Alligator mississippiensis: one gene and its partners. The main gene of each other region encodes a partner of the protein of the gene in region 3 in a complex. Links are inferred from orthologs where the notes say so. Each region holds a gene or a part of one and is shown on either strand. Other genes may lie near its edges.

Region 1 (7,273 bases), on a different chromosome or scaffold from region 3:
CTGGTATAAAATAGCTTTTCATTTATCTTGCTCATAACATATCCATGCATCACAATCGAAATTAGAAAAAATCACTTTTCAACTGGAATAAGCCTGTCCACACAGATTGTGGAAATTATACTGGTTTAACTGTTATTTTAAATGAATGCCTGAGATAATATTGAAAAAAAACAACTTTCCTGTGCAGACGGTAGGTCCTGATCCTGCAAACAAGTATGTCTGCACACCAGAGGAGGTGGCACATATTAAAATATCAGCATACACTACATTAACTACTCTGCTCTAACTCTAATGTGAACACTTGCTACAGAGTACGTGGCACGAATGAATGCAGGCAAGTCCTTATTCATATGCATAATCTGTAGTGTAATGAATAGTCCTAGCAGCAAGCCCTGATGCCTTATTTTCTACTGGTGCCAAGTCACATATATTTATAATCAATGTTTGGAGTTCTGCCTGACTTTCAAAGCTTTGGTATTCCCTATGTGGCTGAGGCAGCAATGGACCTGATGCTGCAACTGTTAATTGTGTGTTTAATTTTAATGCATAGAATGCTTTTTCAAGTTGCAATGACAGGAAACCCAGTTCTTCACTATCCTTTCTATAAAGTCACTTGTGCAAAGGGTAAAATGCTAATAATTTGATCTCTGTGCCTTTTATGCCCGCTCTGACCAGGTATAAAAGTGGAAGATGGGTATGAAACAGGGTGAGTAAGCTGCTTGTTTAGTAGCTGAAAGCTCTGCTACCTTTAGAAGCAGAGGTCTTTTTTCTGACAATCCCAGTTGAAATGGGGATTTCTTATATTCAGATACCTCTGAATATGGTGAGGGCAACAAAGTAGGAGAGGACTAAGAAACTGATGTGTGTGTGACCTGTTTCTTTTCCTCTCCAAGGGATATTTTTTTCAAATATCCCTTGGAGAGGAAGTCAGAAATCAGCTTGCTTTGAAGTCAGAAAATAGAACTGGGGTGAGAGAAGTATAAATGGGCTTTTCCTAGCAGTCAAATCCTGCAGACAGGACAAACTGTGGCCACTGATAGCTTTCATTACCCCAAAATGTATCCTTGTAACAGTATCCTTGTTACAGAGCAAGGGCAATTGATAGTATAATTTACTAATTTAAAATGTATGTAAAGTGATCAGTCTCCATATGCAGGTACCATAGAAATCTTGCATTAAATCTTGTCTTTAAATGAGAAAAGTCAACACAGAAAATTCTTCATTCACCTCCAGAATTTGTTTCCCAGTTTCAAAAAGACAAATGTAACTTTTCACAATCCCAGTTTATAGCATTCTTCCACCCAGAAATGAAATACAGCTACTCCTCGCTTAACATTGTAGTTACATTCTTGAAAAATGCGACTTTAAGAGAAACCATGTTAAGCGAATCCAATTATGTCACAGTAGTTACCTACTAGCAGGCGGCAGCCAAACAACATTATAACTGAACATTGCACGACTTTAAACGAGTAAGTTCTCTAATAGATCAGTGACGTAATAACGAAACAACGTTAACCAGACGACGTTAAGTGAGTACCTATATTTAATAAACCTGCATTTGAGGCTATAGCATTCTGTTACCAACTAAATTGTTATGAATTCTGTTTGGTTGTAGGACTGAAGACAATGCAGTTTAAAGAAATACTTACTGTTCTTCATTGTCTAGAACATGCTTTAAACTAGAAAAGTGATATATTGCTATAGTTTCAACGCTAGCTCCTTGTATCTCGGAAACAAGTTTATTTTTTTCTGTTTTAACCCAGGCTCTCGGTTGTAGAAACAACTTGATTCTAAAATAAATCTTCAGATTTTCTCCATAGGAAAATCATGTCTAAAGATACTGCTAAGCTCTACACCATCAGTTTCTGGCCTTTTATGTCACAACCACACTTCTGGTCAGCTCTTAACCTGGTTTCCAGCATGAATTTAATTGCCATAATTGAATATTTGTGGGGCTTATAACCCAACTCTTTAAATGCTGGAACTGCATTTGGGGTCGCAATCACTAGTTTTGGAATTGCTGCTCCACAGCTTGGATTATCTTCTCCAGGGGCAAACACGCAAGGAGAATGGGAGGACTCCATAGTCATAAATTCCCTTTTATTCTGCCAGGAGGATTAAATTTGCTTGCTCTTATAAAATAAGCTAAGAGGCTAGCTGATACAACCTGGACAATCCCCTATGCTACCGCACTAGCTCCTCTGCAGTGTAGCTCTACTGGCATTTCTCTACAACGTTGTCCACTTTGCATTAGACTGTGCAGTCTTTTACAGGCTTTTCTTTTATCATCTTTTACAGGAGCTCTGCACGGGACTGAAGTCTGGACACTGCATCAGTTCTGGCCAGGCCTAAGCCCACCTATTCTTTTTTGTGTGTGTACTATGTACAGAGTCCACATCCTGCCAGAGCATGGGCTTCAAAGCGGGTTCAGAAAGGGGGAAGGGGCAATAGGGAGTGCTGATGCAACAGAGGCAGGTGACCCTCCTCCCCTGTATAGCAGCAACCTAACCATGCAGCTGAGCGCCCAGGGCAGCTGCAACATGCAGGGGCTATGGCAACTTCCAGTAGTTGCCACATTGCTAACATGATTGGCGGGAACTGTTGTTTTCCACCCTGCCCCACAAGCTGGGGTTGGGGCAGCTGCCCCTGTCATCCCACTCCAGTTCTCCCCACTACAAAAAAGAACAGAAGTGTGTGCGTGCAGGATTGCCTGGAGGCACAGACCTCAGAAGACTGGGACGTGATCCAGGCCTATATCGGGATTTTCCCCTAATAGTAAATTACCGCGTATGTGCAGCTCCCATATGCCTAGAATAACAGTTGGCGGCAATATTTGGATTTACAGCTTAACTTTTACGAGCATTTTCATGTCCTTCCAGAAACGATCGTCATGGGCGCTTTCATTCTACAGAAACATTCGCAGCGGATAAGTCTCCGCTTTGCAATTGGCCGCCTGAAACCTGCGGGTCCCGGGGACTTGGATTCTCCTAAACCTCAGGCCTCTGCTTCATCACAGGCCTTGCTCTTTGCCCCGTTCAGGTCCTTGCTGGTTCTGGGACCCCAGCCAGGGAAGCTGGGAGGAGAGGGCAGAGGTCCACAGCGTTTGCCCTGTGTAGGCTTTTGCACATAGGGGAAACACAGTGGCTGGTTTAAGGCTTATTGAGGTGTTTCCTGAGCTGCTTTTGGAAGCCTGTTGCTGTTCCCCAGTTGCAAACCAGGTGGGATGCCTTCTGCCATGGGGGCTGCCGGCCTGCCCCCTTCCCTTCACGTGATGGTGCCAGCCAGAGAGGGCGCTCTCTGGGACCCCAGACTGGAAGCATCTAGCCCGCTCCCTTAGCAGGAAAGGAAATATGTGAAAATAGGGTTTTTGTTTTGTTTTTTAAACTCGTGTCAATGTCCTTATTTCAAACAGCCCTGAAGTGCGCCGCGCTCAGCCTCCCCGAGGCCAAATGCTGAAGTGAGCCTGGGGATGTATTCAGGGGTGTGCTCGGGGATGTATTTGGGGGGTGCATTCAGGGGTGTATTTGGGGATGTATTTGGGGATGCATTTGGGGGTACATTTGAGGATGTATTTGGGGTATATTTGTTTCAGGGGTGTATTTGTATTTAGGGGATGTATTTGGGGATGCATTTGGGGATATATTTGGGGTATATTTGTTTTGCAGGTGTATTTGTGTATTTGGGGGATGCATTCAGGGCTGCATTTGGGGGTGTATTCATGTATTTGGGGGTATATTCGAGGACGTATTGGGGTGTATTTGGGGATGCATTTGGGGGTACATTTGAGGATGTATTTGGGGTATATTTGTTTCGGGGGTGTAGTTGTGTATTTAGGGGATGTATTTGAGGATGCATTCAGGGCTGCATTTGGGGGGGTATTCAAGGACGTATTTGGGGGTGTATTTGTGTATTTTGGGGATGCATTGGGGAATGTATTTGGGGTATATTCCGGGGTGTATTTGGGGATGTATTTCGGACGATGCATTCGCGGACGTAGGAAGCGAGCCCGTGTGTCTCGCATTCCCGCGTGCCCCTGCGCACACCCAGTGCCGGCCCGAGCCCCCGGCGTCCCTGCGAGGGAGGGAGCAGGCCCCGCCCCACGGACAATGGAGGCCCCGCCCCCTCGAGGAGACGCGCGAGGTGGGCGGGGCAGCCCCGCCCCAAGCCCCGCCCCAGCCGCGCGCGAGGGCCCCGGAGACGTAGCCCCGCCCCTCAGCGCGGCGGCGGCGGGGGCGGGGCGGGGCCGGGCGCGCGCACGGCGGCGGCGGCGGCCCGGCGCCATGTTGGGAGGCCGCTGAGCCCGGGGCTGGGTGTGCGCTGCGGCGGCGGCGGCGAGCCGGGGGGGGGGACGCGGGCGGACCATGGACCTCGAGCGGCTGCAGGAGGCGCTCAAAGGTGGGGCTGAGGGAGCGCCCCGGGGTGGGGGAGGAGGGACGACGCGGCCGGGCCGGGCTCTCACCGTGTGTTTCTGTCTCCTCCCGGCCGCGCCGCAGACTTCGAGAAGCGGGGCAAGAAGGAGGCGTGCCCGGTGCTGGACCAGCTGCTCTGCCATGTGGCCAAGACCGGCGAGACGCTGTGAGTGGCGGGCGGGGGTCGCGGGGGGGGGGGGAGGCGTCCCCTCAGGGCCTGTCAAGCGCGTGGACGGCGGCCGCCGAGGGACAAACTTCCTCAGGGCGTTCATTCCCCCCCCCCCCCCCGGTCTCCGTGGGCTTCCTGGTGTGTCCCGCCAGCCCACGGCTGCTCCCCACGGGCACACCGTGGCCAGCTCACAGCTCCTGGGGGCCAAGCAGCCGCTTTAGGGGCGGTCGGCGTGCCCTCTTCTAGGGTTTTGCTTCAAGCTTCCCTCCCCCCCGGGAAGGGGGCTGCGAGGGAGCCGGGCTGCTCCGCCGCGACTTCCTTGTCGTCTCACAATTTGGCAGGAAGGGGCAAGGCTTCGCCCCGGCGCCCGGCCGGCCAGGCGCTCACTTTCTGGCTCCCGGGCTGCCTCCTGGCTTTATGAGGCCTAGCGCCGGGGTCCGGGCTCGAGCGGCGTTTTGGCTTTGTCCGGGTTTTTATAGAGCGTATCTAGCTTTAAAAGACATCTGGCTCTTTTGTTCTTGCTTTATGTAACTCAAATCGGCGGCCTCGAAGGAAAACCCGAAGTTTTGAGATGTGTGTACTTTGCTCTTTGAGCCAAAGGCGTCAGCTCAGCAGAAAAAGCCCCAGCTTAACGCTCGTATGTGTGCCCACTAGCTCTTTATACGTATTGTTTTTAGGTGAAACGCTAGTTTTGCATACAACAGTTTCCTCTTTGGATAGGCTAATTTCTGCTTTTTTTCTTTTTTTTTTCTGAAATTGTCCTGGAGGTTTTTGTTTTTCTTGCCTGTGCCTCTCTCCTGAAACAATCCAAGCATAACAAGTTGTATAGGAGCTGCTTGTTAAGTAAATGCTAATGATGGTAGCAGGGTGATGCATTGTAACTGTACTGTTAGTGTTTGTTTGCATCGCCCTTTTGGAAATATGTGGATAAACTTCCTATTAAATTATACAAATAAAGACCTTGATGTTGCATAAGAACCTAAACGTCTTTCAGACTTGATGAACATTTTGTTTCTATTCATTCTTAGAATGTGCATTATCTATTTTGCCTGTTTTGGGGTTTTTTGTTTTGGTTTTTTTTAAGCCTCAGATACTTCAATTGTCCTAAGCTATTTTTAAGAAAAGTGACACATTGCTAAAAATGCAGCCAGTCTCTGGTGTTTTCCTTTGTCCACAAACAAGGCAAATTATGGGAATGCACATAGTCTGTCTCTATCATTACACTCAGTTTTGTTCCCATGAGCCATCAAAATCTAGATTATGTATCTGCTACTTCGTTTAGTTCACTTATAGCATATTTTAATTTAGAGAAAACGCGTGTTATCTTTAAAATAGAAAATCATCATCTGTTTGGTAAAATATATTATCACAAGACTAGGAGACGTGTGTAGAATGTAGGCCTAAGCCTTTCTAGTGGAAAGGAGCTGTCACTAAGTGCTCCAGTATGAAAATGTTTCAGGGATGGATTTGGTAACCGTGTTGGTCTGAGACTAAAAGAAATGCAAAAATCTAGAATTCTTGCTTCAGAAATGATACCTTTTATTAGACCAACTGAGAAATTGCAAAAAAAAAAAAAAAAAAAAATCTTTGTTGCAATTTCTCAATTGGTCTAATAAAAGGTATCATCTCTGAACCAAGAGTTCTAGATTTTTACATTCCATTATGAAAATGTTGTTGCAAAATTGTTTTTAAATGTGTGTGAATTTTATAAACATTGATTCCTGATAAGTTAAGTACTCTTCTTTTTTTTAAATTAAAGGAAACTGCCTTAAGATTTCTTTTCAGAAGATTGAGCATTTGACTTCAGCAACTATTTATACATATTTCCATTTTTAGAAAGTGTAATATTAGTGCAAAATTATTGGAATCAGGTGAACAGGTAGCAGCCATCTTTGGCTTTATGGGAACCAGACTAGCTTGATGTTGGAAGACAGATTTACGTACAGTGGAACAAAGCAAAATAATTTTTGCTTTCAGTCTTGTCTTAGGTCAGATTTCTAGTTTCAGAGTGAGTGACTGTGGCTTACATAATAAGATTCCCTCCCCTCACTCCCCCCCAAAAAAACCCAAACCCAAAAAACCCCAAACAGTTCTTTTGTGGCAATCGTATTTGATCTGCCAAATGATTTATTTAGCTAATATATATTTAATTTCAGTTTGCAAACACAAGTTAATCAAAAAGATCTCAAAATTCAGAGAAATGATATCACGCTATTTTATAGCCTGCAGTCACCGTTTCATGCAAATAAGGGCAGTTGCCATTTGATTTGATGGTACTGTTCACCTGGATGACTTCCTTGGATTGTGCGTGTGAAACTGTGCTAGTATCTAAAATACTTTTTAGGTACAGCAAAGCCAAGAAATAAAAGTATTAACTTGGTTTTGTTCTCCACATTTTGCTGTAGATGCTGGATCCTGTAAACAGTGAGACAAGTGTAATTTTACTCATTTATGTCTGAGACTGTTCACATAAGCAGAGTTAAACATACGCTTAAAGCATGCGTAAGATGACAGCCTATCTTTAACTTAGGCAGCATGGAGCCATGTAAAATAACTTCTTAGACTTGCTAAACAAGAATTATGACAGCACTGACTAAAAGTTGTTTCCTAATATCATGCTATTTGTAAGATATTATCTGTGCGATTCAAAAATCCAGTCTGCATTAAGTGTTGTAAAGTTGCGTAATTGTTTTTT
Region 2 (7,543 bases), on a different chromosome or scaffold from region 3:
CTGTGGATGTGACCCCTGGGGCTGACAGATGCCATCCAGCAACCACCAAGGGGGATGTCTCACGAGGTCAATTACCCCTGGATTGGGTTAGCCCGAAAATTGGGGAGTCACCAAAGTCTGCCAGAGAGGGATAAAAGGCAGCAAAGAATGATCCCCCAATGGCGCCCTTTCTGACCTGACCAGCACCCTGCCTGCCCAGCCAGAAGGACCAGCCAGCAACCCCCTTCTGAAGCAACATCACACTGAAAGAACCCTCGACTGGCCATCGACAGCAGACTCTAGCACTTGGGGATAGGTATATCTTGACATCGGTGCTTAGTGTTCATAGCTAGCTACTGTGAGTAGGTGTGCATGAATGTGTGTGTCTGAGGGGATCAGCCCCAAGGTTTATGATCTGACTTTTGCATCCGTCTAATAAACTAGAATTCTATGATGATCCTGTGAGTTGGTCCTTTGTCGCCAACAGCTCTACCCCAAAGTTTAGTGTCATCGGCGAACCTGGCCAGTCCACTTCTGACACCAGTGTCCACATCGTTAATAAAGACATTAAAGAGAACAGGTCAAAGAATGGAGCCTTTAGGGACACCACTGGTCACAGAGTGCCATAATGATTCACTTCGTCAACTACCACTCTCTGGGTCCAGCCTCAGAGCCAATTCCCCAGCCATTGGACTGTGATGTAGCTGAGGCCACAGTTGGTCAATTTTTCTATGAAGAGATTATGGGACACCAGATCAAAGGCTTTTTTAAAGCCTTACATCAGGGGTGTCCAACCTCTTTGAATGTGGGGCCCGATCATGAACTTTTTATCACCTAGTGGGCTGGTGAGCCATATTCAAAAACCTCACAGGAAGCGGTATCACATCAGGAAGTGATGTCATGTGACCTTTGACATCAATTAAGTTGCAGGAAGTGACAATGAAATGGGTCTAACCAGTTCAAAACTCTCCCTCTATAGCATCCACCTCTGCCACTGTTTGGGACAGGATACTGAGCTAGATGGACCATTGGGCTGGACAAGCATGGCACTTTTTATGCTCTTCTGTTCTTTGGCTGAGCTTCCAAAATATGGCTGAGATTTGTAAAAAGGGGTAGATAGACATGTTACAAAGTTGTCATAAAAGATTTGAAGCCCTCTAAATTCCATTCATTTTAATGGAAGTTGACCTTTTGATTCAGCTTTGAAAATCTCAGCCCAAGGTGCCAACCAAATAAGTCAAAATATATTTTGCATTTCTATGCAGTGCATCTATGTGGGGCTCTCCAAGCATTTTACAAACATTATATTAACCTCAGGATATCCCTGTTTTTCAGAAGAAATGTGATGGTGAGGACATTTTGGGAACATCTCTCACTCTCTGTGTGATCTGCTTCTACTATCCTTGGACCACCCTAGAAGGGCCCTCACTACCTCATTTCCAGTTCAAAGCAGGTAAAAGTGTAAGTGGGTAGGAAGGGTTTATATTTTGGCAGCAGGTTTGAGTGGCTTGAAGCTAGTGAAGATGTACCCACAATTAGTCACTGACCAGAGTGGGAATACAGTTGTCCTCACTTATTAACATGGCTCCAAGGCCCGGCACTGTTTGTGCCTACATGTTGCTCTCATGTCCTCTTGCTTTCCTAAATCTCATGAGAGTAGAGGATTCCCATCATGCCTCCTGGACTGCCGTCACCCAATAGCTGTCCTAGTTTTAAGGTTGTGCTTCTGACTCTTTCATGGCTTCTTTTAGGGTGCACACTTAGAACTCTGCCTTTTCCTTCCCACCCATTTTGCTGAATTGTGATTATTCCTATGGGGCATGAATTTAGTCCAGTGGCTATGATTCTGCTTTCTCATACAGAGGTAATGACTCTCACAAAGCATGGCATATTTTAGTAGGATAAAAACATTTTGAAGGCCATACAGAAAACAATAAGCAGTTTTTACTCACATGAGCTTACCAGGTATCAACCACCTGCTACTTGGGTTCCTGGCAGATACAGACACAAGTTTATTAGCACATTGTTCCAGAGTGAGTCTCTGTGCCATAGCCTACATCAAGTCTCAGATCTAGGGAGCCTGACCCCTCCCCAGCCATAGGCTGGTCATGTAATACCAATCTGCTGGCCGGTGCAGACCCGGCTGGGCTCCTCCCATCCTCAGAAGCATGTGGGAAGCCAGCTTCAGCTGCATGCCACTTTTCCTGGCTAGTGCTGACCCAGCTGGGTCCGTCCCATCTGGAGCAGCACACGGCTGAAGTCGGCTTCTCACAAGCTGCTGGGGCTGGGAGGAGGCCGGCCAGGTCTGCACTGGCCAGCAGAAGCGGTGGCGGAGCTGTGTGCCACTTGGGACTGACTTGGTGCAGGCAGGGGGAAAATGCAGCTGAGCCCCTGCTGCTCCGGCCGGGCTCATCCCATCCTGAGAGGCACACGGCTCTGCCACCACTTCTGCTGGCCGGTGCAGACCCGGCTGGGCTCCTCCCGTCCCCAGCAACATGTGGGAAGCCGGCTTCAGCTGCATGCTGCTTTTCCTGGCTAGTGCAGACCCAGCCGGGTCCATCCCATGCAGAGTATGTTGGACAAGCCTGCCTTAAGTCACCCTTGTTTTAGCAGAGTTTTTCAGATTGAAGCCCATGGGACTGTTTTCTTCTTCCTTCTTTCTAATTCTAAATGTAGTTTTAGCCAAATATGACACAGCTAATAAAAAGCTGCTTGGAGCAAGGGAAAAGAATGGCTAGAGACCACCCCTGCTTACCTAATATGCTCTCAGATGCACTTTGCTATGCTTGCAGTGACTGCCAAAATATTTTTAAATGCCCAACTACAGTGTCAAGCATACAAAAGAGACCTTAAAACTTTCACTTAAGTTGGCTGATTTTGTATAACAAGGGAAGACCATTCATACAAAGTAGTATCTCCCTACCATTCCCCAAAGTAGTATCACACTATGTGGCCAGAAGACAGGAGGACTTTCCTATGTCTCGGGCCCAAACCTGTGCTTTTCAAAAACAAACAAACACAACAAACTCCAACCAACCAACCAACCAACAAACACTTTCAGACCATTGCATACAGCAGTCAAGGAAACAGTTGCATACAGTTTCAGCCATGCCCTGGCTGAAGTCCCACTCTTCAGAGTTTGTGCCGGTGGCAAGGTATGATTTTACCATCTTTGTTAAATGTTCTCATTTTCATTAGGTAGATAAATACATATTCACAGCCAGTTGTCTCATGGTCACTGCTGAGGCCCAGAAGTAGGTCCCAAATAAATGCCCACAGTTGAACACAACTAAACTGTGGAGGAGTTCAGAATTGGTTATTGATTTTGTGATTAGCCACAATCTCTCTTAGTGGGGTATAGCAAAAAATTGAAGATGGGGAAAGAAAAGAGTTAGCTGGAGAGAGACCTTACCAGGGTGGGGTTGTAGCACACTAGGCTTAGCAAAATTTATTCTTATAAAAAAATGTCAATGTCCACTGAACAAAAAAATCAAAGATTTAATCCTCTGAATTAAGTGCCTTTTGCAATGGACCTCTGTATGCAGCGGAAGGATAGGAAGGTCCCAGAGACACCAGTGAGGTTGCCTACTTTTTCAATTTTGGTGGAGTCTTTAAGGAAAAATCTGTCAAGCATATGCTCTGATGTTGGCAGCAGCAGCAGCTTCTGTTTGTTACTGCAGCTGGTGAGACGCATCTCAGTCTGTTCAGTATAGTCCAGAAGCCGTGTAACTTTTGCACTGCTTAGCCATGAATGAGCCTAATAGAAAGGATGCTTTTGCAGAAGGATTACTTCATCTGCATTGGACAAAACAGAAGCAACCCAACATCTGAAGCTGGGCCTTAAGCATGATCTATCTATGTAAGCGGGAGGAAGGAAGGGAAAAAAGAAGCTTCTTAGAGCACAGGCTTCTTTGCCAGCTGGGCGTCTGCTAGGACTGCCTGACCACAACCTCAGCCCCCCACTCTGCTCCTACACAGGCAGTTTCAGGAGCACCAAGGCATGGTTTTGCCATCTCCGGTTGGCTCCTTCCCCTCAGATGAGCTGTAGGCCTGTCTCTGCCACTCTGGGGGCAGATCTTGGTACCCCCAAGCTGCTCCTTACGGCTGCAGTTCCTGGCTCTAGCAGCTTGCTATTGACCCACAAGGGCAGCTCTGGAAACACAACCCAGGTGTTTTCTCACCCCGAGCAGCTTCGTTCCCAGAGTACACTTCAAAGCCCTGACCCACCGGGCGGCTGGGAGCCACCTGGGCCGTGCCCCCTATGCCATCCCACCTGGCCGAGCCCCCACGTGCCAGAGGTGGCCACGCGAGGCAGCCCTGCGGCTGAGGGGAAAGCGCCGCGAGGTGGGGCTGCCCCGGCCTGGCACTGCGGGCTGGGTGTGCACGGCTGGGGGGCTGAGGTGAGGCGCTGCCCCGGCACGTGCCGCAGCGCCGACACCTCCCGCCCGCGAGTGCGCTGCCCCTTTAAGCGGCGACGGCCCGTGCCGCCGCTGGCTGGGAGACCCCGCGCTGTAGTGAGCGGTGAGACCAAGATGGCGGCCGCGCAGTGACTGAGGCGGAGACGGACAGGCCGCGCCGCGCCCCCGCCCGCCGACAGGACCGGATCGGACCCGACCTGACCCGACAGGACCGGACGGGAGGGGGCCGGGGCCGGGGCCGGGTCGGGCCGCCCGCCCGCAACGCAGCGAGCCCGCGGAGCCAGGCCGCAGCAGCAGTAGCCGCCGCCGGCGGAGGAAGGAGAACATGGCGGCGGAGCCGGGCCAGGAGTGAAGCCGCCGCCTGCGAGCGGAGCCCATGGGGCGGGCTGGGCGCTGAGGCCGCCGCCGCCGGGCCGAGCAGGGGGAGAGGCCGCGCCGGCCCCGCGCTGCGAGCGGGGCAGGAGCGAGCGAGCGAGCGGCGGGGCCGTGGCCGTGGCCGGGGCCGGGCAGCTCCGCACAATAGAGCCGGGCCGCCGCCGATGTCCCTCTGACGCCACTCGTGCTCCCTGCCCTTGACCGGGCTGCGCCCCCTCGGCCCGCCCGGGCCATGCGAGCCGCGGCCTGAGGAGCGCCGGCCGCTGCGTGGGGCCCTGCCCGCTGCCGCCGCCGCCGCCTCCCGTGCGGGCCGCCCCCTCCTCCTGTCTCTCCAGGTGTCCCAGGCCGGGCGGCTGCGGCGCGGCCGGCGGCAGGATGACTGACACCCGGCGGAGGGTGAAGGTTTACACGCTGAACGAGGACCGGCAGTGGGATGACCGGGGCACCGGGCATGTGTCCTCTGGCTACGTGGAGAGGCTGAAGGGCATGTCCCTGCTTGTCAGGGCAGAGAGCGATGGTAAGTGTCTGAGGTTGCGGCGCTTCCTTGCTGAAAGCAGCTGGGGCTTGGCTTTCTGTAGTGAGCCTGGCCCCTGCCCTTCATCTGGGATCCCTGAACCAGCCAGGTAACAGCTCTGGGTCACTCCTGTTAGGCGCGGGGATAGGGCTGGAGATTGGCGCCTTGCACAAACATTGTAGTACGCGTGGTGTTTACACTGGATACGCGGGCACTGGCCTGCCTGCCAAATACGCTCCGTTCTGGTTGCAGGCTGCAAACCAGGCTGTCTTCTGCCTTTGCCTGTGGGATTGGCTTTGTGGGAAATGTTTCCCTGGATCCTTTCTGAAAATGATGACAGGCTTCCCCTGATGGAAGGAACTGTTCAGAGTTTTATTAGTGTCTTTATATCTGTTCTGTAGGCTTAAAATGCAAACGCGCATCTTGTGCCAGATCCACACATGCTGTAGCATTGCTGGTTTCAAGGCAGTACAAAAACACCTTTTGGGTATCTTCCCCCCCCCCCCCCCCTTGGACTAGCCACAGCGCTCAACACTCACCAAAACTGATTTTGAGTTGCTGCATAATGCTTCATTTTAAGGGAATTTATGAATTTATTACCCATTTGCCAGGCACTCCAAACATGTTTCTCTAGAGCACTGTGTGTAGGTTTTATGTAAGAATTATCCATGGCTATTGGATCAACAAGTTAATGGTTGTTGTGGTTACTACAGATTTTATTTTAAAATACATCTTGCTTCATGTTAATAGTGGTACGGAGCAGCAAAGAAGATAGATTTAACTGGTTAAACCTCAAGTTTATAGTTGTGAGAGCCTTCTGTCCTGTGGACCATCTTGCAGACTGCTGTTGGTTGCAGGCAGCAACCAAACTGAAATTAAAGCTAGACAACTTCAGTGAGGTCACAGATTTCAGCCAGTGGAGGGAAAGGTCCTGAGAACCTTCACTATTATGCTAACTCATGACATCCTCTAGTGAAGGACTTTAAACTTAGGAAACTAATAATCAAAACCCTTCCTGATTGATTCAGTTAATGATAATTTAGCAGTTTAGAGAATAACAAACTACACAAAAGCTGGATGTATATATATAAAATAGGTTTTTACCAAATCATTTCAAGACTGTCCTCTATTAGCCCTTATGAAATAAGACAGACATTCAAGATTGGAACAGACTTCCACTGTTGAATCTCAGTACCAGAGTTGAGAGGTAGAGGGAGGAAACCATTAGTGGTGTATCTAAAACCTGGCTTACTTTTGTGTTTATTTAGCATCTTTATAATGGATATAATTATAGCACATTCTGTCTCCATGACTGCTGTTGAAGACCCTTAATAAATAAGTAGAATAAAACTGAAACGCCTCACAAAGGAAACTGAAACATAGAGTTAAATATATAAAATGGAGTGGGCTGAATTTGAAGCGTCAACAGAGCCTGTTTTAAAGTATTGTCTTTGCGTTGATTTCAGTAGAATTTGTGTGTTGTCTCAAGGCAGAATTGAACCTAAATAACATTCAAGTTGGTAGTTTTTTTGCTGTAATTTTAAAGTGGGAGTGAGATGAAGTATTTTAAATAATGTTTTAATGTTTATTTTAGCATGACTAAATACCCATTTATATACGTTATATTTTCAAAAAAATATGTAACTGTCCAACTGAAAGTGTTCAAACTTGTTGCTTTCAGTTACAGTAGTCTTATTTAATGAGATGTCACACCTGTTGTACCTTTTACAGTATATGCAGTTTGTTATTGGGTAATGAAATCCTCTGCACAAAGTGTTTGTGGCTAATACCAGTAGGACTTTGGTAACTGTTACTTTTTTTCCCACAGTTTACCATATCAGACAAGACCAGAACTTTACAAATGCATCTTCTTTCCAAAAATAAGCTACTGGAAATTGGGGTGGAAAATGGAGGGAGCAGAGGGTCCAGTCCTCTGGGAGCTGAACTGGTCTTCCCTTCCCTTCTTGTTGACCTGTCCAGTAAGCCAAACTGGCTGACCATTAATTCTCAAGCCGGGTGGGCAGCCAGCAGTACCTGCTATGTCCCACAGCTAGGGGGTTAACAGAGCAGTCATAGCTTTTTGCTTCTCCTTCCCCTGTCACTGCAGGTGTCTGTTTTCATTGGGGAAAAAAATACCCTATGTGTATTTTCAAGGAAAGATTTTTCTTTTTCTTTCCATTTCTACCCCTTCTCTTTCTCCCCCTCACCCACCCCATTCATCTCAAGAAAAGGTGTGTCCTGTTCCCGGGAGGGCATG
Region 3 (8,085 bases):
TTTCCATAATGTTCCATCTATTTTTGGGAGGCTAAGAACAAAGAATCAGACTGTGTGTGTGTAGGGCGGCTATAACATATATATGTTCTATCAGTAATCTCCTTTATTTATGTTCTGACTTTTACGTTCAAGGAAAATGTTACAAGGAAGACTAAGAGATATCTTTGCCCATTCATATAGAGCTGTTACACAAATTAAAGATATGCTATAAATCTGAAATCTGGTCAAACTGAATGAAAAGATAGTTAAGAAACCTTACAAGAGATAACTCTCTCATGCTAGTCCACCATGAAAAATCTGAACACAGGATACAAGGCTGAAACACTGGATCACTATCACTGAAGTGGGGGAATGCTGCTTAAAAGTGTTTGTTTTCACTTGAATTTTGACCAATTTAACAGATGAACTGCTATTAGTTTTAGATTCCTTAAAGACTATTTCAAACCAAACTAAAGCCACAATCTGCTCACAGGGAGACACCCCTTCGACCTGTCAATGGCTGGAAACAGACATCCTCTTTGGAGCACAGCTAATCCACTTCAGAGACATCTAACAGACACTGTCAGACCTGTCGCTGTCCACAGTCCATATCCTGCCACTCCCAGGGCTTCAAGGACCCAATCCTGGAAGAAACGAGCACTGAGTTCGGGTATGCATTTACAAGGGGGGAAGCCCCAACTTGTAAATTCGCCCCCATGTTGGGATGCAGGGGAGCCCTTCAGGAGGGGATTCCCCCAGCTTGTGTCTGCAAAGCATGGGGGGGAGAATTTCCCTGGTGTTCCCTCTTCTGGTTGCAGGGAGCACCCCAACCCAGGGGCACCAACAAAAAAAGGTACCAGGCACCAAGGCCATGTGCAAGAAGAGGGCAGAACTCCTAGAAATTCCCCTCTCCACATCTGCAGAGCTAGGGGCATAATACCCCCACTATAATGTGCAGGTAGGAGAAGCCCTTCACACTTGCACACATGCATCAGAGGTTATTCTGCCAGCCCACAGTCTCCTGCCATAAGTAAACAGATGTCACGCAAAAAGGCAGCACAAATTGTTAGTACCCTTGTTGGTGCCACAAAATTTAAGCACTTTTGGCCCAACAAAGGGCTATGATGTCTGTTCACTCAGTTCTCGTACCTCCATAAAGAATTTTATGGCGGCACATAGGCTGCAAACAGACACTGACTATCAGTCTCCAGATAGGAGCACAGGCATGCCTCAGCAGAGTGCAGGACTGACATCTAAAACAGAAGCCACATAAAAGAGCCATGTTTCTTCATCCCTACCTTATAGTTAGCATTTGATATCACCTTTGTTCTGTTTCCAGCTCTCCTCTATAGCTAGAATTTCAGAATACTTATTTATACGATGAGGTACTTTCTGTCACATCTAATACCACAAACTACCCGTCACTGCACAGAGTTTCTTTACCTAAAACGAACACCCTTTCTGTTGCTAATACAGAATTCTACATCCATCTTTCTACTATACTGCCACAACGCCAGATTCATTCTCCCTCATTGCAAGCATTTTCATTAACAAAGAAGAAAGCAATTTAAAGGGGGAAAAAAACCCTTCAGGGAGTAAAAAAAACACATCTTGGATGAGGTCACAGACACAACAGGCTTTCCTAGGGTTTCTCCTTGCTTGCTCCCTAGATCCTTTACACAAAGGTCCTCAGTTTCTGAATGGGGTCAGTCCTCTGCAAGTCTTAGCCTCATCCTAATCTCACCACGTCCTCATGCTGGCGTCAGGCTGTTACGGAGAACTGAATAACGCGGTTATCCTGGGCAAGTGCACGGGAAACAGACTCCAGCTTCCTCAGAGTTTAAGAGCCCAAGGAGCCTCATGCAACCAGCACAACCCACATGCCCAGCTGGTGAATCCCAAACACCCTGGCTCCTGCGGGGCAAGAAGGGGGGGGGGGGGGCAGCCACACCCACACAAACGGGGAGGGGCATGGGGGACACACGCCCATGCACACACACAGGGAGGGGTGTGGGGGACACGTGCACACATGCACGCACACACAGGTGTAGGGGACACGTGCGCACACGCAGAGGGGCATAGGGGACACGTGTATGCATACAGAGGAGACACACACCCATGCACACATACAGGAAGGGGCATAGGGGACACGCGTGCACACGCACGCACACACATGGAGACATAGGGGACACGTGCACACACAAACACAGAGGGGGTGTAGGGGACGTGCACACATGGGGAGGGGCGTAAGGGACACACCGCACACAAGGGGAGGCATGGGGACAGAGGGGCAGCTTCGGATGTACACACAGATATACACAGAGACGGGGAGCAGTTTAACCCACGGACACAGGGAGCAGCTTAAGACAGGCAGGGAGCAATGCAGGACATGGACACATACCACAACCTGGAGAGCGACACCCGTGCCCGCTGCTTCGCCAGGGTCGAGCCCTGCCCCTGCCCCGCCCGCACTCGTCCTCCGCCCCGCGCGCTTCCTCCGCGGCTGTCCGCGCCCCGCGCCCCGCGCTTCCGGCCCGCCCGCGGCTGCGTGCGTGCCTGCGTGCAGGGCGGGGCCGAAGCAGGCGCCGGGGTAAAGCCCGGGCCGTACTCACATGCGTCCACCTCCTCCTGCGCGTCCTCCTGCAGCAGCGACACATCTGCGGGGAGACGCGCACAATGTAGTGCCCGCCCGCGCTGCCCCCGTCCTCCCTCAGCCCCGCCCCACCCCGCCCGGCCTGGCCCGGCCCCCCAGGGCTCCCGGCTCTCCGAGGGGGGAGGGGGCCGGCACCTACCCGCCATCTTGCTGCGGCCCCCGCGGGACTCCGGCTGCCTCTCAGCAGCCGCGGCGGCGGCAGGGGGGGAGGGGCGGCCTTGCGAGCCTGCGGCTCTGTCTCCAGCTCCGGGCCCGGGCGGCGCCGGCGGGTGTCCCCGAGGGAGCCCCGAGCTCAGCCAGCTGCGGGGAGGGAGGGAAGGAGCGAGGGGGCTGGGCCGGACACGCTGCCCCCGCCTCCGCCTGGGAGCGGCGCACGGCGCTGCCGGCCCTCCCCGCCCCCGCCGGAGCCGCCTCCACCCCACCTCGCGGCGCCAACCGCCTCCCCGGCACCAACGTTCCCCCGCCCCCGGCGCCGTGTCGGCCCCGCTCGCCTCAGCCCGGCCCCCCGCGCCTGGTACTGCGCCCCTCTGCCGGCACTGGCCCTCCCTGCGCCCCGCGTTGGCACGGGGCTGGCTCCCACCCCCCTCCATCCCAGTGCCTCCCTGCCTCTCCCGCGGTGATGAGCAGGGATCCTGGTTTTCTCTCGTTTAAAAAAATTCCCACATTTTCTGATTAAAAAAAACAACTAAATTCTCCTTTTTCCCTTATTAAAATTAAACACAGGCACACACACATATATAATATGTATGTATTAAATATCACATTATATTATACATATACACACACACACACACACAGAGTACATACTTCCCGCCTGCCTGTGGCGCCACGGGACTGATTGCATGGGATCGTAGTATCTACTGTGTGTGTGTGTGTGCGTGTATAGTGGTTCACTTTTTCATCTAATGTGATACATAAAATATGTACATACATAAAATGTTATGTATCACATTTTTCCGTGATTAAAATGAAACACCACTAATATGCACACATATTAGTGGTGTTTCATTTTAATCACAGAAAAATGTGATAATATGATTGTCGCAGGGCACCTCGGTGCCCCTGCTCCTAGAGTGGAGAAACTGCCAGGGAGCAAGTGAGCGCGCCCTGGCCTGACATAACGAGCCCAGCTGAGGCTGCTCAGGTAATGAGCGCAGCTGCAGGTTGCCGGAGCAACCAAGCGGAGCCAGCTGCCTGTAGGGGGCAGGGCCTGGCCCTTATAAAGCTCAGGGCTGAGGCCAGGCTGGCAGTTCTCTGCCAGCAGCCAGGGAGGCAGGAGCTCCCTCAGCCGAGATATGGGAAGGAGCCTAAGTCGCAAGTACAGCTCATGATAGCCCTGGAGGTTTGAGCTATGATGAGGAGTTATGGCCATGCGGCTTGCATTTGTGTTACAGCCTAGGGGCTTGTGGTTTTGCTTTGTGTTTGTGTTATTACACCCGGAGGCTTGGGTGAGGCTGTAGGGGTTGGAGGAGGCCTCAACTATAGGGACCCCAGAGAGTGTGGGGTGCCCTAGCGCCAAGAGGGCGCATTATCTACACAGCGCCAGGGAAGGCGCAGCTCGCACGCCAGTATATGAGCAACTGGCGGCGAGGAGCGCGGCCAGTAGGTCGCGGGCGCGACCTGTAGGTTGCAGACGGGGACCTAGACCCCGGATTGCGTGTGGGGGAACATAGCCCCCTGTATAGCGCCAGGGAAGGCGCAGCTTGCACGCCACTGCACGAGCAGCTGGTGGCGAGGAGCGCGGCCAGTGGGTTGTGGGCGCAACCCGTAGGTTGCGGACGGGGACCAAGACCCTGGATTGCGTGTGGGGGAGCATAGCCCCCGGCCCCAGGAAAGGGGCGGTATTACTGAGGAGCCCAGTGTGGGCGTGGCGAGCCCCCAGAGAGGGGGAATGCCCTTGTACATTATTGAGTAGCCCAGTGCGGGCGTGGCGAGCCCCGGAGAGGGGGAACGCCATTGGGTTTTATTGAGTAGCCCAGTGTGGGCGCACGGGTATAGCGAGCCCGACCGCAGGCTAGTGCGGCAATACCCCTCAGACCAAGGCAGTGTGCTGCGGTTGCCCCTGAGAGGACAGGGAGTAGCAGCGCAGGGAGCCAGAGTCAGGGAGGGTGTCCGTGCAGTTGGCCCATAGGACCGGAGGCCCGCTAGAAAGTCCTGAAGCGGAACCACACTGGCAGGGGAGGCCCAGAGTGGGGAGGCCCAGAGTGGGCTAGACGGGAGTCCCAGCAAGAGGCTGGGCATGAGACAGGGAGCCCAGAGTGGGCCACATTAGAGAGGAGGCCTGGGAAGCGGGCATATAGACCGAACAACGTCCTTTACGTCTGCGAGGCTTGGGGCGTGGTATCAGGGGAGGTAGGAGCCACGCATAGCCCATAAGGCTAGGGCACTTGGGTAGCGCCCATTGTACGGGGAGACCCACGAGGGGTCCAGGAGCTGACAGGCCCGAGGTAACACAAGGCAGCCTCCCTATTACATATATTCCATCAAGACGTGGTGGGCGAGAATGGAGGGTGCCCTCGGGCTGGAGTAGCGCAGTGAGAGGGCCTCACAGAGATCACGGCCCTCCGTGAGGACCCGAGGGAGAGGGAGAGAGGGAGGGTTTTTTGTTTTAATCACAGAAAAATGTGGATTGGGGGGGGGGGGGGGGGTTGAGTCAGAAAATTTGGGATTTTTTTTTTTACTGGAGAAAACCAGAATCCCTGGTGATGAGGCTGAAGCTGGTTGGTTCTAGGGAACCAACTTCCCATCTCATCCCAAGACACAGGGTTTGGGGAGGTGGTGACCAGGGGGACTCACTAGGCTGGGGAAGCAGCGCTGTGCATTTGCAGTGCACTTGCGCCATGCTCCCGGGTGGATCCCGCCATTGTGATGTCACTCCCCAAGGAGCCAGCTCCTGGAGGTGATGGTTCCAAGGCTGGTGTCACTGTGCCATAGGGTGGGGTGGTCAGCTGATTTTTTTTTTTTTTTTTTTTTTTTTTTTTTCCCCTCTCCCCATAATCTAGAGCTTCTGGTGCCAATTTAAAAGCCACCTTGAAATGTCTTCAGTGCTGTTCCACTTTAGAGCAATTTGGGCTTGTGGGATTGCGGAAGCCCGGTGTCTAAACTGGTGGCTCTCAACCTTTTATAGTTTTGACGTGCCCCTCAGAAAATGCCAGCTCTTAGTTTTCACTCATTTTTTTGACTGCAGAAAAACAATAAAGCTATTTTTCTGTTGCAAAGAACTCAGAAAGCCCATAGCAGGTTGGAACGGGTTTAACACTGTGGATTCCTATTTGAAATCTCTGGGTTTATCTTGTGAATTGTGTTTGTGCAATTAACAGAAGTAATAACATTGTGTAGCACGCTTGAAAGGATATCAAGGCATGCCATTGTACCCTGACTGAGAATCACCGGTATAACGTCTAAACAACTTTTAATTCAAAAGGTTAAGAAGAGATTGGTTACCAAGCATGTCATGCCTGAGGCTTATTTCTGAACCTTTTTCCAACCCATTACAAAAGTATAATAAGGTATACCAAAACACTATGCATCCATTACCTTTTTATAATTCTTATAAAATTAATTTGCGTATTTTAATTTAAGCTTCTATAATTTGGAATTGCACTAAGAGCATTTGCTTTCGAAATTGGGCATTAGTAGTGTTTATTTTTTAATCATGGCATTTTTATGTCACTTTGGGGGGAAGTAGTCTACAGGGTATTTAGGAAATTTAATTTTTCTATAATGTATGTTTAAATAGGGGAGCTGCTATTTATGCAAGGAAACAATGTAGAATGACTGTTTTGAGAGATTTGTAATATGTTGTCCTGATTTTGGTACTCCTGTTAAGAGTACTGTTTCTGTTGCTATGTTCTGGATATACAATACAATGGGATGTTTTTACATTGCAAAGTTAATTACATTTTCAGTTTTTTTGCAACAAGTTACTTCAATAGGTATATGGCTCCTCATGTGCAACCAGCAGTAGATGTATTATTTATAGCCACTGTGACAAATTTATGCAACTAAGAGGGCAGGTAAGTGGGATATGATGTTGGTCTACATACCTTTTGCCTATTGGAAGTCCATGGGGTTTGCTGCATTTGACCTTTCATATAGCTGGAAGATCAAGGGCCCTCTTGAGCTTGTCCGTGACTCCTGAGAGGGTAGCATGGAGACAGGGGGAACAAACCACCAAGTTTGTCCAAAGGTTCTGAATGATTTAAGAGCTATGATGGATTTGATGCATCAGAATCTGACTGGAACCAAAGAGAATCGAAGTTTAGAGGGGGCCTTGGTTCCATATTATCACCAGGGAAGTGCCACAAAATACAGAATTAATGGGAGGCAACCATTTGAAATTGTAAAAAAGCAGAATGATGTGACCTAGCGTGGAGAAGCCTTGGAGGGTGTTCCCAAAATTGCAGCAATTCATTTTGGGGGCACTGTTTTCTCACATAATTCCCCCCAAATTGGATCAGTGTAGATTTGGGTACCCCATGATAGCCTGTCACAACAGTGTCCACTTCTGTAAATGAAAATACTGTATAACCAAAAATCTTGCTTCAGTAACACATGGAAAAGAGAGGAGGAGAAAAACTCACTTTTATCTGGAAATGTGCCACCATATGCTGCCAGCTTCTGCTTCCTGAATATGGATGTCCAGATGGCCCTATTTCTAAACTTTCTGGCTGCGATGAATGGGATGTCAGTCTAGATCTTCAGTCTTTCAAGGCCTGATCCACAGTCCACTTAAATATCTGATAACACTCCCACTGATCTCAATGGGCTCTGGCTCCAAATAAGGAAAGGAACAGAAAACTTAATGTGTATGACACATAAAATGGGTCTTGAGATATGTGATGAATTGCCAGTTTCAAAGATATTATTACTACAGAATGCCCTCCAGGGGGTGATTGCTTGGGACCACCTGGATTTTGTGTGGTCTCAGAGTGTATCCCAAAACCAGACCAGGTGTGGCCTCTAAAGCATGGGGGGAGCCCTGTCTCTCTCCCATTCTGAGACACTCCTGCTGACTTTTTGTTCCTTACCCTCCCATTTATGTCCATAACCCTGACTCAGAAACCTAGCTCCTGAGAGAGGGACTTTACCTCTTGTTGGGCAGACCAAATGCAACCCAAAGTTTATTTCCCTGTTTCCCCTAGACATCTGTAATCCTCACCTTTGTTAAAATGTCAGCAAAGCTATTTGAGTCTCTGTAGATGGATGCAATGGATGTGTCTTCTTTCATGTAGACCAAAAACTCCAGCTTCACTGTCTCTATAACCCATTTCCCCCACCTCCCCCCACCCTTCTCCCCTATGTTAGCTACAGGGAAACAGAGGCATGCAACACTGTTACAATACGAATACAGTTAACACAGAAATATTACAATGAACACCATAGTCCATCACAATTGCCATTTAAAAAAAAGTTATCAAGACTTTGAAATCAAAATGATATTAAAAAAAAAA

Evidence for each region.
Region 1: PPP4R1 (region 3) and PPP4R2 share a complex: the UniProt entries of both Homo sapiens proteins name them as parts of the PP4 complex. The link is inferred for Alligator mississippiensis from reciprocal best matches to the Homo sapiens genes PPP4R1 and PPP4R2.
Region 2: PPP4R1 (region 3) and PPP4R3A share a complex: the UniProt entries of both Homo sapiens proteins name them as parts of the PP4 complex. The link is inferred for Alligator mississippiensis from reciprocal best matches to the Homo sapiens genes PPP4R1 and PPP4R3A.

Annotation. Positions count from the first base shown.
Region 1 is NC_081835.1:7,973,832-7,981,104, forward strand, and holds the start of PPP4R2 (serine/threonine-protein phosphatase 4 regulatory subunit 2), read left to right. Parts: upstream 1-4,272; 5' UTR 4,273-4,361; coding exon 4,362-4,395; intron 4,396-4,493; coding exon 4,494-4,575; intron 4,576-7,273. UniProt on the Homo sapiens protein: Regulatory subunit of serine/threonine-protein phosphatase 4 (PP4). May regulate the activity of PPP4C at centrosomal microtubule organizing centers.
Region 2 is NC_081825.1:274,845,467-274,853,009, reverse strand, and holds the start of PPP4R3A (serine/threonine-protein phosphatase 4 regulatory subunit 3A), read left to right. Parts: upstream 1-4,486; 5' UTR 4,487-5,147; coding exon 5,148-5,289; intron 5,290-7,543. UniProt on the Homo sapiens protein: Regulatory subunit of serine/threonine-protein phosphatase 4. May regulate the activity of PPP4C at centrosomal microtubule organizing centers.
Region 3 is NC_081826.1:95,278,769-95,286,853, forward strand, and holds the start of PPP4R1 (serine/threonine-protein phosphatase 4 regulatory subunit 1), read right to left. Parts: upstream 3,002-8,085; 5' UTR 2,779-3,001; coding exon 2,772-2,778; intron 2,637-2,771; coding exon 2,592-2,636; intron 2,449-2,591; exon of another isoform or gene 2,381-2,448; intron 1-2,380. UniProt on the Homo sapiens protein: Regulatory subunit of serine/threonine-protein phosphatase 4. May play a role in regulation of cell division in renal glomeruli. The PPP4C-PPP4R1 PP4 complex may play a role in dephosphorylation and regulation of HDAC3.